Linked DNA regions of Rattus norvegicus. The protein of the gene in region 2 binds, or shares a complex with, the protein of the main gene of each other region. Links are inferred from orthologs where the notes say so. Each region holds a gene or a part of one and is shown on either strand. Other genes may lie near its edges. The genes, in order: Nudc and Dnajb1.

Region 1 (4,185 bases), on a different chromosome or scaffold from region 2:
ACCCCTGATTTTTTTTAAAAAGGGAAATACTATAGGACAGAGGAAATCAGAAGACCTAACAGTCCCTAAATCCTAGCCTTGGCCTAAAAACCAATTTTCCAGCAGCTTTCTGAAGTAGGTTTACATTCCCAGGGAAGTTCTATCAAAACGGCTGAGTGGTTAACTTTAACCTGCACACCTCTGCGTTCATTGGCCCTGACCCTTTGGCAGAAGCAGATGCTCCAAGGGCCAGATCTAAGCAGAAGTTACCTCCTCAACCCTTTACCGTGTGGCTCTACCAGACTATACCCGCCTTCCCAAGTCCCACTCCCAGGCAGTGTCCCAGGCTTTATTACTCCCCTGGCTTTGTTCACACAGTCCAGTCTGAACACTTAATTCTGGGACTGGCTCCTGATGTCTAATGGGAATCTGTAGCCAGAGAGACTCAGCTTTGCTCAGAACCACACGTGAGGTAAGGTGACTCACTCACATGAGCCTGGCAATCTATGTTCTATCCTCACAACCCATGCAAGCATGGAGAGAATTGACCCAGAAAGCTGTCCTCTGAACTTCATACATACATACATACAGCACACACACACACACACACACACAGCACTTGTGCACATACAATGTAAATTAAAACTTAAATCCCTTGTCATAGTCCTCCCTAAAGTCATAGGAGCAACAGACCCAGAGAGTCGAGACCCTGCCCTAGCAGGTAGACTGCCGCACAGCAGACCAGGCTAGAAGCCAAAATCCCAGCTCCTAGCAGCAGCCAGAGGGTCTACACAGGGGACATAGGTGGAACAGAGTAAATAGTTTTAATGTGTAACAGGACAAATAGCAAGGACAAGACCCCCAAGACCCAGCCCTTCTCCAGTGAATCCCTGGAGCTCACATGCCTGGGAAGTCCCACGCCTGCCCAGCCCTAAGGCTCCTGGGTCTCAGGAAAGGAAGTTGAGTGGCTACGGGCTCAACTGCAAGAGTTCAGGAAGGTGAACAGGAGCTAGTTGAATTTGGCCTTGGAGAAATCCATCTCTGGGTGCTGATCCATGAACCTAGGAGGCAGAAGTAGAAAAGTGATCTCAGCTGTCCACCTCAGCCCCGACACTGGGCCTGACCTCCTCAGAACCCTGAAACACCCGGAGCCAAGCCTGCATCAGAGCCCTTAGGCCAGAAGGGCAGGTGCCAGCAGGTGGCACCAATCCTGTTACCTACTGCTTCCTACTCTTAAGGTAGCCTTGTCCTAGAGGTGACAGTACCAAATGGTCAGGTGAACAAGCCAAGAGAGAACCATGAACTTGGCTAGTTTATGTTGCAAGTGGGCGGGGCAGTCCGTGTTCCATTTAGTGGCACACTGCTGTCACACAGGTCTAAGCCCCCAGCAATCCTCCCCACGCCCCAGTCGCTTACTTCTTCAGGATTTCCTGTTTCTTCTGCTCATCAGAGGTGGGCAAGCCCATGGACTTCTGCCTCTGGTCATACATCATTTTTTCCACCATGCTGCGAGTCTCACTGTCCAGGTCTGAGAGCTAGGGACAGGCAGGAAGAAGAGTGAGTCCAGCACTGGACTGCCTCTCCTGGAGCTCCACAGAGAAAACCTCCCCTAGCAAACCGGGACTCACCTTGGAGTTCTCAGGGTTAATCTTCTTGGTATTGATTTCGGGGTCACTGGTAACCAAGCGGTTCCACCACTCCATCTTATTGATCTGAGGAGGAAGAGGGGGAGGAAACCCATGGGGAAGGAGAACCCACTCCATGGCCTAGGAATTACAGCTCAGCCCTTTTAGAGATAAGCTCTCTCCCATCCACACTGTGTGTGTGCTAGGCCCAGGACAGGAGAGCCAGACCTCTGCCCGCCCAGCAGAGGGCACAAGACACAGAGGCCAACAGTTACAAATCAATCACCTGGAGCAAGAAAACACATAGGGTGGCCACTTAGCCGGCAGGAGAGAAGCTAGAGTAACAACTGGACCTTAAGGCATTGCAAGTAAACAAAAAGAAAAAAGAGCAAAGAACAAGAAAGGAGATTCTGGCTGGGAGAAAAGTCAAGTACCAGGGCAGAGACCATTGAGCTGCAGCCAAAAAGCACCATCTTCTGTGCCAGGGGAAGTGTCCATGGGCCCTCGGCTCTATCCAGACACCACCTTTATTCACCCAGTAAATGTCCCACACCTCTAGGAAGGAGAGTGGGAGACATGTGGGTTCTCTGGGGGCAGATTTCTCTACACTCTATTCCCCGTTCTCTCTCCAGTCCTTAGAACAGGCCTGGCAGAGCAGAGCACGGGTTCAGGCACATGTGAACGGAGCCCATGTGCAAGCTGATGGAGAGGAACAAGACCACTCGACCCCAACCCTGCCCTCCCGCCCCAAGCGAGGCACACAGGGAAACCGTAGCTGTTTCCTGACTATAAAAGCAGAGTGAGGAGTAAGCCCACAAGGCCTGAGCAGTCAGGGGGTGTCAGCACCAGCTAGGAAGGGCCGCTTGTACCTTCTCCAGATGCACTGTCACCACCTTGCCATCCTCGATGAGCCACGAGCTCTCCTCCACCTTTACTTCATTGTAGAGCTCTCCATCAATCACTGGTGCCTGTCCTTTGAGGCCCACCCGGAGGTGCCGCCGCTGGATGTCCACCACCACATCCTTTCCCTTCAGCCGGAAGCTGACTCGGAAGGGCACTGCCAGATCCAGCTCTGACAGGGTCTGGGTCCAGCGGTAGTTGGGCAGGTCAGCCCCATTGCCTAGGTTGGGTTTCAGCTTTCCTTTGTCCTTCTCGTCTTCCTCGTCTTCCTCTTCCTCAGCATCCTGCTCAGTCATGGAAGCTTAATGACTTACCTGACAGACCAGACTTCCACCAGGCCAGGCCCACAACTGCCGCTAGACACAACAGCCACAAAAAAGCAAGGTAGGCATGGCCGACCTACACACCCTGGGCCACTGGGAACCAAAGGCAAAAACAGGTCCTGATCTCTGCCAGAAGGGCTCAAACTATATCAAGTGACACAGGCTGTGGCTGAGCCAGTGCCCCTCAGCCCACCCTTCATGGTATGCTCTGACTCGGGAGCAGTTTAAGAAATATTACAAGTATATGAGTATTTTGCACTATGTCATACCTAGTTCAGAAGACCCCCTAGCACTGGAGTTAAGAGGCCATCATGAGGGGTTGGGGATTTAGCTCAGTGGTAGAGCGCTTCCCTAGGAAGCGCAAGGCCCTGGGTTCGGTCCCCAGCTCCAAAAAAAAGAACCAAAAAAAAAAAAAAAAGAGGCCATCGTGAGCCACCACTAAGCTATCTTTTCAGTCCACCTGAGGGTTTTCTTGTCCCAGGATTAAGGCCAGTAGAGTTATCAAAAAGTATTACTATTGTTGCTGCTATTACTAAAAATAATCTAGTAGTAGTAATAGTAGTAGTAGTAGTAGTAGTAGTAGTAGTAGTAGTAGTTACTACTGACAGTCTCTCTACATAGCCCTGGCCATTCTAGATCTCAGAGATCCACCTGCCTCTGCCTCTGCCTCCTGAATGCCAAGACTAAAGGCGTGTCACTAAGCCTGGGTTAAAAGAAAATAGTTTTCATTTCTATTTGAGATAGGTTCTCACTATATAGCACAAATCTGCATCAACCTTTTTGCCTCAGCCCACCAAGTGCTGAGATTATCATCACAGCACCACTCTGGCTCTGCTCTGCTTTTTTCCCTGTCTTTGGGGTGGGGCTTTGCAGCATGGCAAGGCCCCAAGGCTGGGGAGAGGGGAGGGTGAGGAGGGAATTCTGCTGAAGGGAGGAGACCACTGCCCAGGCCTGCTACTCCACCTTACCTGCTTCCCTGGAGAGTCAAGACTGCCGTTCTTAAGCTGCACCTCATGGTTCTCTGCATCCTTTTTCTGTGGCAAAGGGCACAGAGTTGGATCAAAACCCTACTTCCCAGGGCCACTGCAGTTGGGGGCAGGGTGGAAGTAGAGGAGGACGCCCGGCCTCACCTGGTCAATCTCCAGCTGCAGTCTCTCTGCCTCCTCATCAGTCAGTTCCTTGATCTGTGGCCCGGGAGTCTCTGCCTTGGCCTCCTTGGCCAGCCTGGCTGCCCGCTCTGCCTTCTCCCGACGCTCTGTCTCCTGCCGAGCTCGCTTCTCTCTCCTGGCCTTCTGTGCCAGCTGGTTGTGGTGGTTAAAAGTCTGTGTGATGAGCTAAGGAGGACAAGAAAGCATCAG
Region 2 (4,514 bases):
CACTGTAGGGGTTGGGGATTTAGCTCAGTGGTAGAGCTCTTGCCTAGCAAGCGCAAGGCCCTGCGTTCTGTCCCCAGCTCTGAAAAAAAGAAAAAAAAAAAAAAAACACACTGTAAAGAACTCCCATGCCCTGTGCTCTCCCTTGGGCCCCTCTTCTGTTCATTATATACTTTTGATTTCTATTCACCCATTTTGAAGTCAGGCTGGCCTCACATGGGAGTTCCTCCTATAGCAGCATCCTGGCACGGGGATTACAGGAACAAGTCACTGTGCCAGGATAGGCTCTTCATATCTCGGTATCTTTAAAGACACGTTCTCTCCAAGTGACTGGTTCGGGACACCCTCTCTGATAAGCTAATGGGTTTCCTAGCCCCAAATCCATCTTGGGGGAAGGAGGACTCAACTGGTTCAGCTTTCACAGGGTCAGTACGGTCAGGGAAATCAAAACACACACAGCTATACCATCATGGGATGGCTAAGGTTGTTTTTCTCAGGGGTGCCTAAGGCAAGGGTTATCAGACTCTCATGCTGCAGGGCTGCCAGAAAGTGAGTGTCAACAGTTGTCCACTAAACAAGATGATTAATCATCCCTTTCAAGAACACCTCCTTTGTACCTTGTCTGTCTACGGCACTTTCACAAATGCTGGATAATGTCAACTTAACCATAATACAGCGACCATTCCCATTATACAGATGAGCACACTGAGACCAGAATGGCTACTTTACCAGCACAAAGTCACACAGCCAGAAAGTGCTAGGATTACTGTCAGCCTTTCATGCACTGTCTTCCAGGCAATTCCCTGCAAGAACCACCACTGACTCCTCCAGCTTCCAATATCAGAAGCTCTGTCCTCTTCCTCACTCAGCAGTGTCCTTGACCGTATCATCCCAGGCTTACGAAGCCAAAGCAAAAAACATCTATGTCAAAGTATTTGGAAATATTTACGAAGCACCTAGTGGATCTTAAAAAGATTTCACTCTCTGCAAAGGAAGTGACACCAAGAACGCCAAGAAACCAGCTAATTCCAATAGGAATTAGTAGGAAGTAAAATAACCCAGCCCGACTGGGGCAATCCCAAGGCAGACCAGCCTCACCTCGCTTTACAGTAACGGCCTGTACGGGAAGACAAAGGGTTACGGGCAGAAGAGGGCGGGGTGCGTATTTTTATCCCTGGGTTGAAGCAGGAAGACTTGGAGTTACACATCAGGTAGCTACCATAAGTCACGCATCAGAACCGCCCAGCGGCGATCACCTGGGGAAAGGGTGCGGCCATCCGGGAGGGCCGCCTCTGTAGCCCGCCCCCTCGCGTCATCAGGGAGAGCGGGTCGCGATTGGCTGGATCCGCCGCGAAGGCGGGACCTCGGCAGCCGGCGCGCGCGTCCGAGGAAGGCGTTGACCAGGGGAGAGAGAGAAGGGGCGTGGCCCCGCGCGGAAAGCCGTTGGCCGCCGGGTCCCACCCCAGATGAGCTGCGTCACGCAGCGGGCTGCAGCGATTGGCCGGTGTGGGGCGACGCATCGGGAGGGGCGGAAGGTTCTGGAGGGCTGGCGGGATCTGGAAGCTTCCGCCGGACGGGTATATAGAGTCCGGGACGGGGCAGCAGCGGAGCCGGAGGCGGCGACAGCTGGGCGGCGGTGGCCATGGGCAAGGACTACTACCAGACGCTGGGCCTGGCCCGCGGCGCGTCCGACGACGAGATCAAGCGGGCCTACCGCCGCCAGGCGCTGCGCTACCACCCGGACAAGAACAAGGAGCCCGGCGCCGAGGAGAAGTTCAAGGAGATCGCCGAGGCCTACGACGTGCTCAGCGACCCGCGCAAGCGCGAGATTTTCGACCGCTATGGAGAGGAAGGTACGCGTGCGCGCGGCCCGGGTGACCCGCCGTTTGACAGGCGAGGAAACCGAGGCACTCGGGGCCTCTCTGAGGCTTCGGCGGGGGACAGATGGTCCGGGGATCCCGCGGCGGCGCTGCCTCCTCCACCTTCTCTCTAATCGGCGGCCTCAGACGGGAGGAGGAGCTCTGGGTGCGCCGCTAGCACAGAAGCTTCTAGCACGTCTGCCGCAGCCCCTCCCGGCCGGCCGCCTGCACAGCGCCGGAATGCTGCAGACGGGGGCGGGGGGCGGCGGTCGCGATGGGAATGAAAATTGCCCAAGTGTCGATTCCCTTTCCCAGCCGCAAGCTCGGTGCTTACCCAAAGTTGAACCTTTCTGGTACTAGTGCGTAGGAACTTCTTTGTAAGGTGTTACAGCATAGCTGGGAGGATGGAGCAGTCACGTCAACCTGGTGGCACCAACATCTAGAGACCTTTCTACTGAATTGTTGTCACGAAGTTAAACGGGGTGGTTTGTTTCCTGTTCCTGTTGCCATTGGGAGTTAAAGACTTGAGATTCGTCCTTGACTTAAGTGGAAAAGCTTTTAAAAATATACACGTAACTCCTTCCCCTCACCCCCTCCCACACACACACTATAGTTTCTGCTGCTTTTTTACTAAGACCAAAACTTGTTGAGAGCAGTGTACTGGGGCTCACACCTCCACTTGGGAGGCTGAATTAGGAACGTTGTGAATTTGCTGCAAATCTGAGCTACAGGGTAAGCTGTTTCCAAAGGAAGCAGACGTTGTGACAATCCCCCCCACCCCGGGGGTGTCTGAGTCAGAAAGATTGCCTTGAGGCTAATCTAGACTACACAGCAAGTTCTTGTGCTACTTAGAATTGACAGTAATACATGCAAGGGAACAAGATGTTACCATTTACTTGAGACAGGACCTCACTGTTGCTGGAACTTTTATTTTTTAATTTATTTGAGTGTGTACCTCCGTGCATCATCACACGCTTCTAGAGAAGGCATTGAAGTTCCCGGAACTAGAGTTAGACCATGGTCTGCTGCTTTGTGGGTGTTGGAAATTGAACATAGTTCCTTTGCAAGTGCTCTGAGCCATTTCTCCAGCATCTCATGTTAGAGCTCTGGCTTTCTGGAACTTGCAGAGATCAGTCTGCTCCTGTCTTGAGAGCTAGGGTTCCAAGATCTTTGTTTCAAGGGCTTTGTGTTTTATCTGTGTGTAGAAGTGTTGGGATGAAGGGTCCTGACTCTCCTGCAGTAACCCTGAGTTGCCGTTTTGTTTTCCAGGCCTGAAGGGTGGTGGCCCCAGTGGCGGGAGCAGTGGTGGTGCTAATGGTACCTCTTTCAGCTACACATTCCATGGAGACCCTCATGCTATGTTTGCTGAGTTCTTCGGTGGCAGGAATCCCTTTGATACCTTTTTTGGGCAGCGCAACGGGGAAGAAGGCATGGACATCGATGACCCGTTCTCTAGCTTTCCGATGGGTATGGGCGGCTTCACCAATATGAACTTTGGACGTTCCCGCCCTACTCAAGAGCCCACCCGGAAGAAGCAAGATCCCCCAGTCACCCACGACCTTCGGGTCTCCCTTGAAGAGATCTACAGCGGCTGTACCAAGAAGATGAAAATCTCCCACAAGCGGCTGAACCCTGATGGAAAGAGCATTCGAAATGAAGATAAGATCCTGACCATCGAAGTGAAGAGGGGCTGGAAAGAAGGGACCAAAATCACCTTTCCCAAGGAAGGGGACCAGACCTCGAACAACATTCCAGCTGACATCGTCTTTGTTTTAAAGGACAAGCCACACAATATCTTCAAGAGAGATGGTTCTGATGTCATTTATCCAGCCAGGATTAGCCTTCGGGAGGTAAGGTGCTGGGTGTGGGGAGGAGGAATCATGAAGAGAGATGGGTACTGAGGATAACAGGCTGTGGGGGTGGCACTCTGTTTCTGACAGCATGGGGAGCTTTGTAGTGGGGTCTCGGAAGGCCTGGTCTGGTGGACCTGACCCTTCTCTGGATGGTTCTGGTCTGGAGGGGTCAAGCTTCCTAAGCCAGCTGCTACCTGACACTGTCTTTTTGCTTCCCTAGGCTCTCTGTGGTTGCACTGTGAATGTTCCTACTCTGGACGGCAGGACCATTCCTGTTGTATTCAAAGATGTCATCAGGCCTGGCATGCGGAGGAAAGTTCCTGGAGAAGGCCTCCCCCTCCCCAAAACACCTGAGAAACGTGGAGACCTTGTTATCGAATTTGAAGTCATCTTCCCTGATAGGATCCCCATCTCATCCAGAACCATCCTGGAGCAGGTTCTTCCCATATAGCTGCCTGCATTCCTCAAGGACTGAGCCAGGGACCTTTCCAGAGCTGCAGATTTCCAGACCGTTCCACTGGTTGCATACTGCGGGAGGGCCCAGGGAGGGCTTTTGCTCTGCCGAATGTTTTCCACAGAATATATTACAATCTTTCAAAGTCGCGCACTAGACTACAGTGGTTTTTCGAGCGATAGGCAGGCGGTGGGAACAGCAGCCCTCCTGGAATGGACCCACCCTTTGCACCCCAGCTCCTGCCCGAGGGTGTGAGGCAGGCCTGCAACTGGACTCTTCCCCTCTGCTGTCCTTAGGTTCTGGCTGTCACGTGACAGTGGCCCACCATCTCGGTTGCCAGACCCTGTGCAC

Evidence for each region.
Region 1: the proteins of Dnajb1 (region 2) and Nudc are in contact, whole or in part, in a crystal structure (PDB 7NDX), measured with the Homo sapiens proteins. The link is inferred for Rattus norvegicus from reciprocal best matches to the Homo sapiens genes DNAJB1 and NUDC. Residues at the interface, in NP_006136.1 of Homo sapiens: His166, Lys181, Lys182, Met183, Lys184, Ile185, Ser186, Asp201, Lys202, Ile203, Ile235, Phe237; in NP_006591.1 of Homo sapiens: Pro102, Gln103, Ile104, Lys105, Glu106, Leu107, Ala112, Leu115, Gln116, Ile119.

Annotation. Positions count from the first base shown.
Region 1 is NC_086023.1:151,041,094-151,045,278, forward strand, and holds the end of Nudc (nuclear migration protein nudC), read right to left. Parts: intron 4,162-4,185; coding exon 3,958-4,161; intron 3,862-3,957; coding exon 3,796-3,861; intron 2,789-3,795; coding exon 2,474-2,788; intron 1,692-2,473; coding exon 1,608-1,691; intron 1,515-1,607; coding exon 1,396-1,514; intron 1,041-1,395; coding exon 989-1,040; 3' UTR 785-988; downstream 1-784. UniProt on the Homo sapiens protein: Plays a role in neurogenesis and neuronal migration. Necessary for correct formation of mitotic spindles and chromosome separation during mitosis. Necessary for cytokinesis and cell proliferation.
Region 2 is NC_086037.1:41,428,167-41,432,680, reverse strand, and holds the start of Dnajb1 (dnaJ homolog subfamily B member 1), read left to right. Parts: upstream 1-1,539; 5' UTR 1,540-1,639; coding exon 1,640-1,850; coding exon of another isoform or gene 1,851-2,022; intron 2,023-3,125; coding exon 3,126-3,706; intron 3,707-3,929; coding exon 3,930-4,160; 3' UTR 4,161-4,514. UniProt on the Homo sapiens protein: Interacts with HSP70 and can stimulate its ATPase activity. Stimulates the association between HSC70 and HIP. Negatively regulates heat shock-induced HSF1 transcriptional activity during the attenuation and recovery phase period of the heat shock response.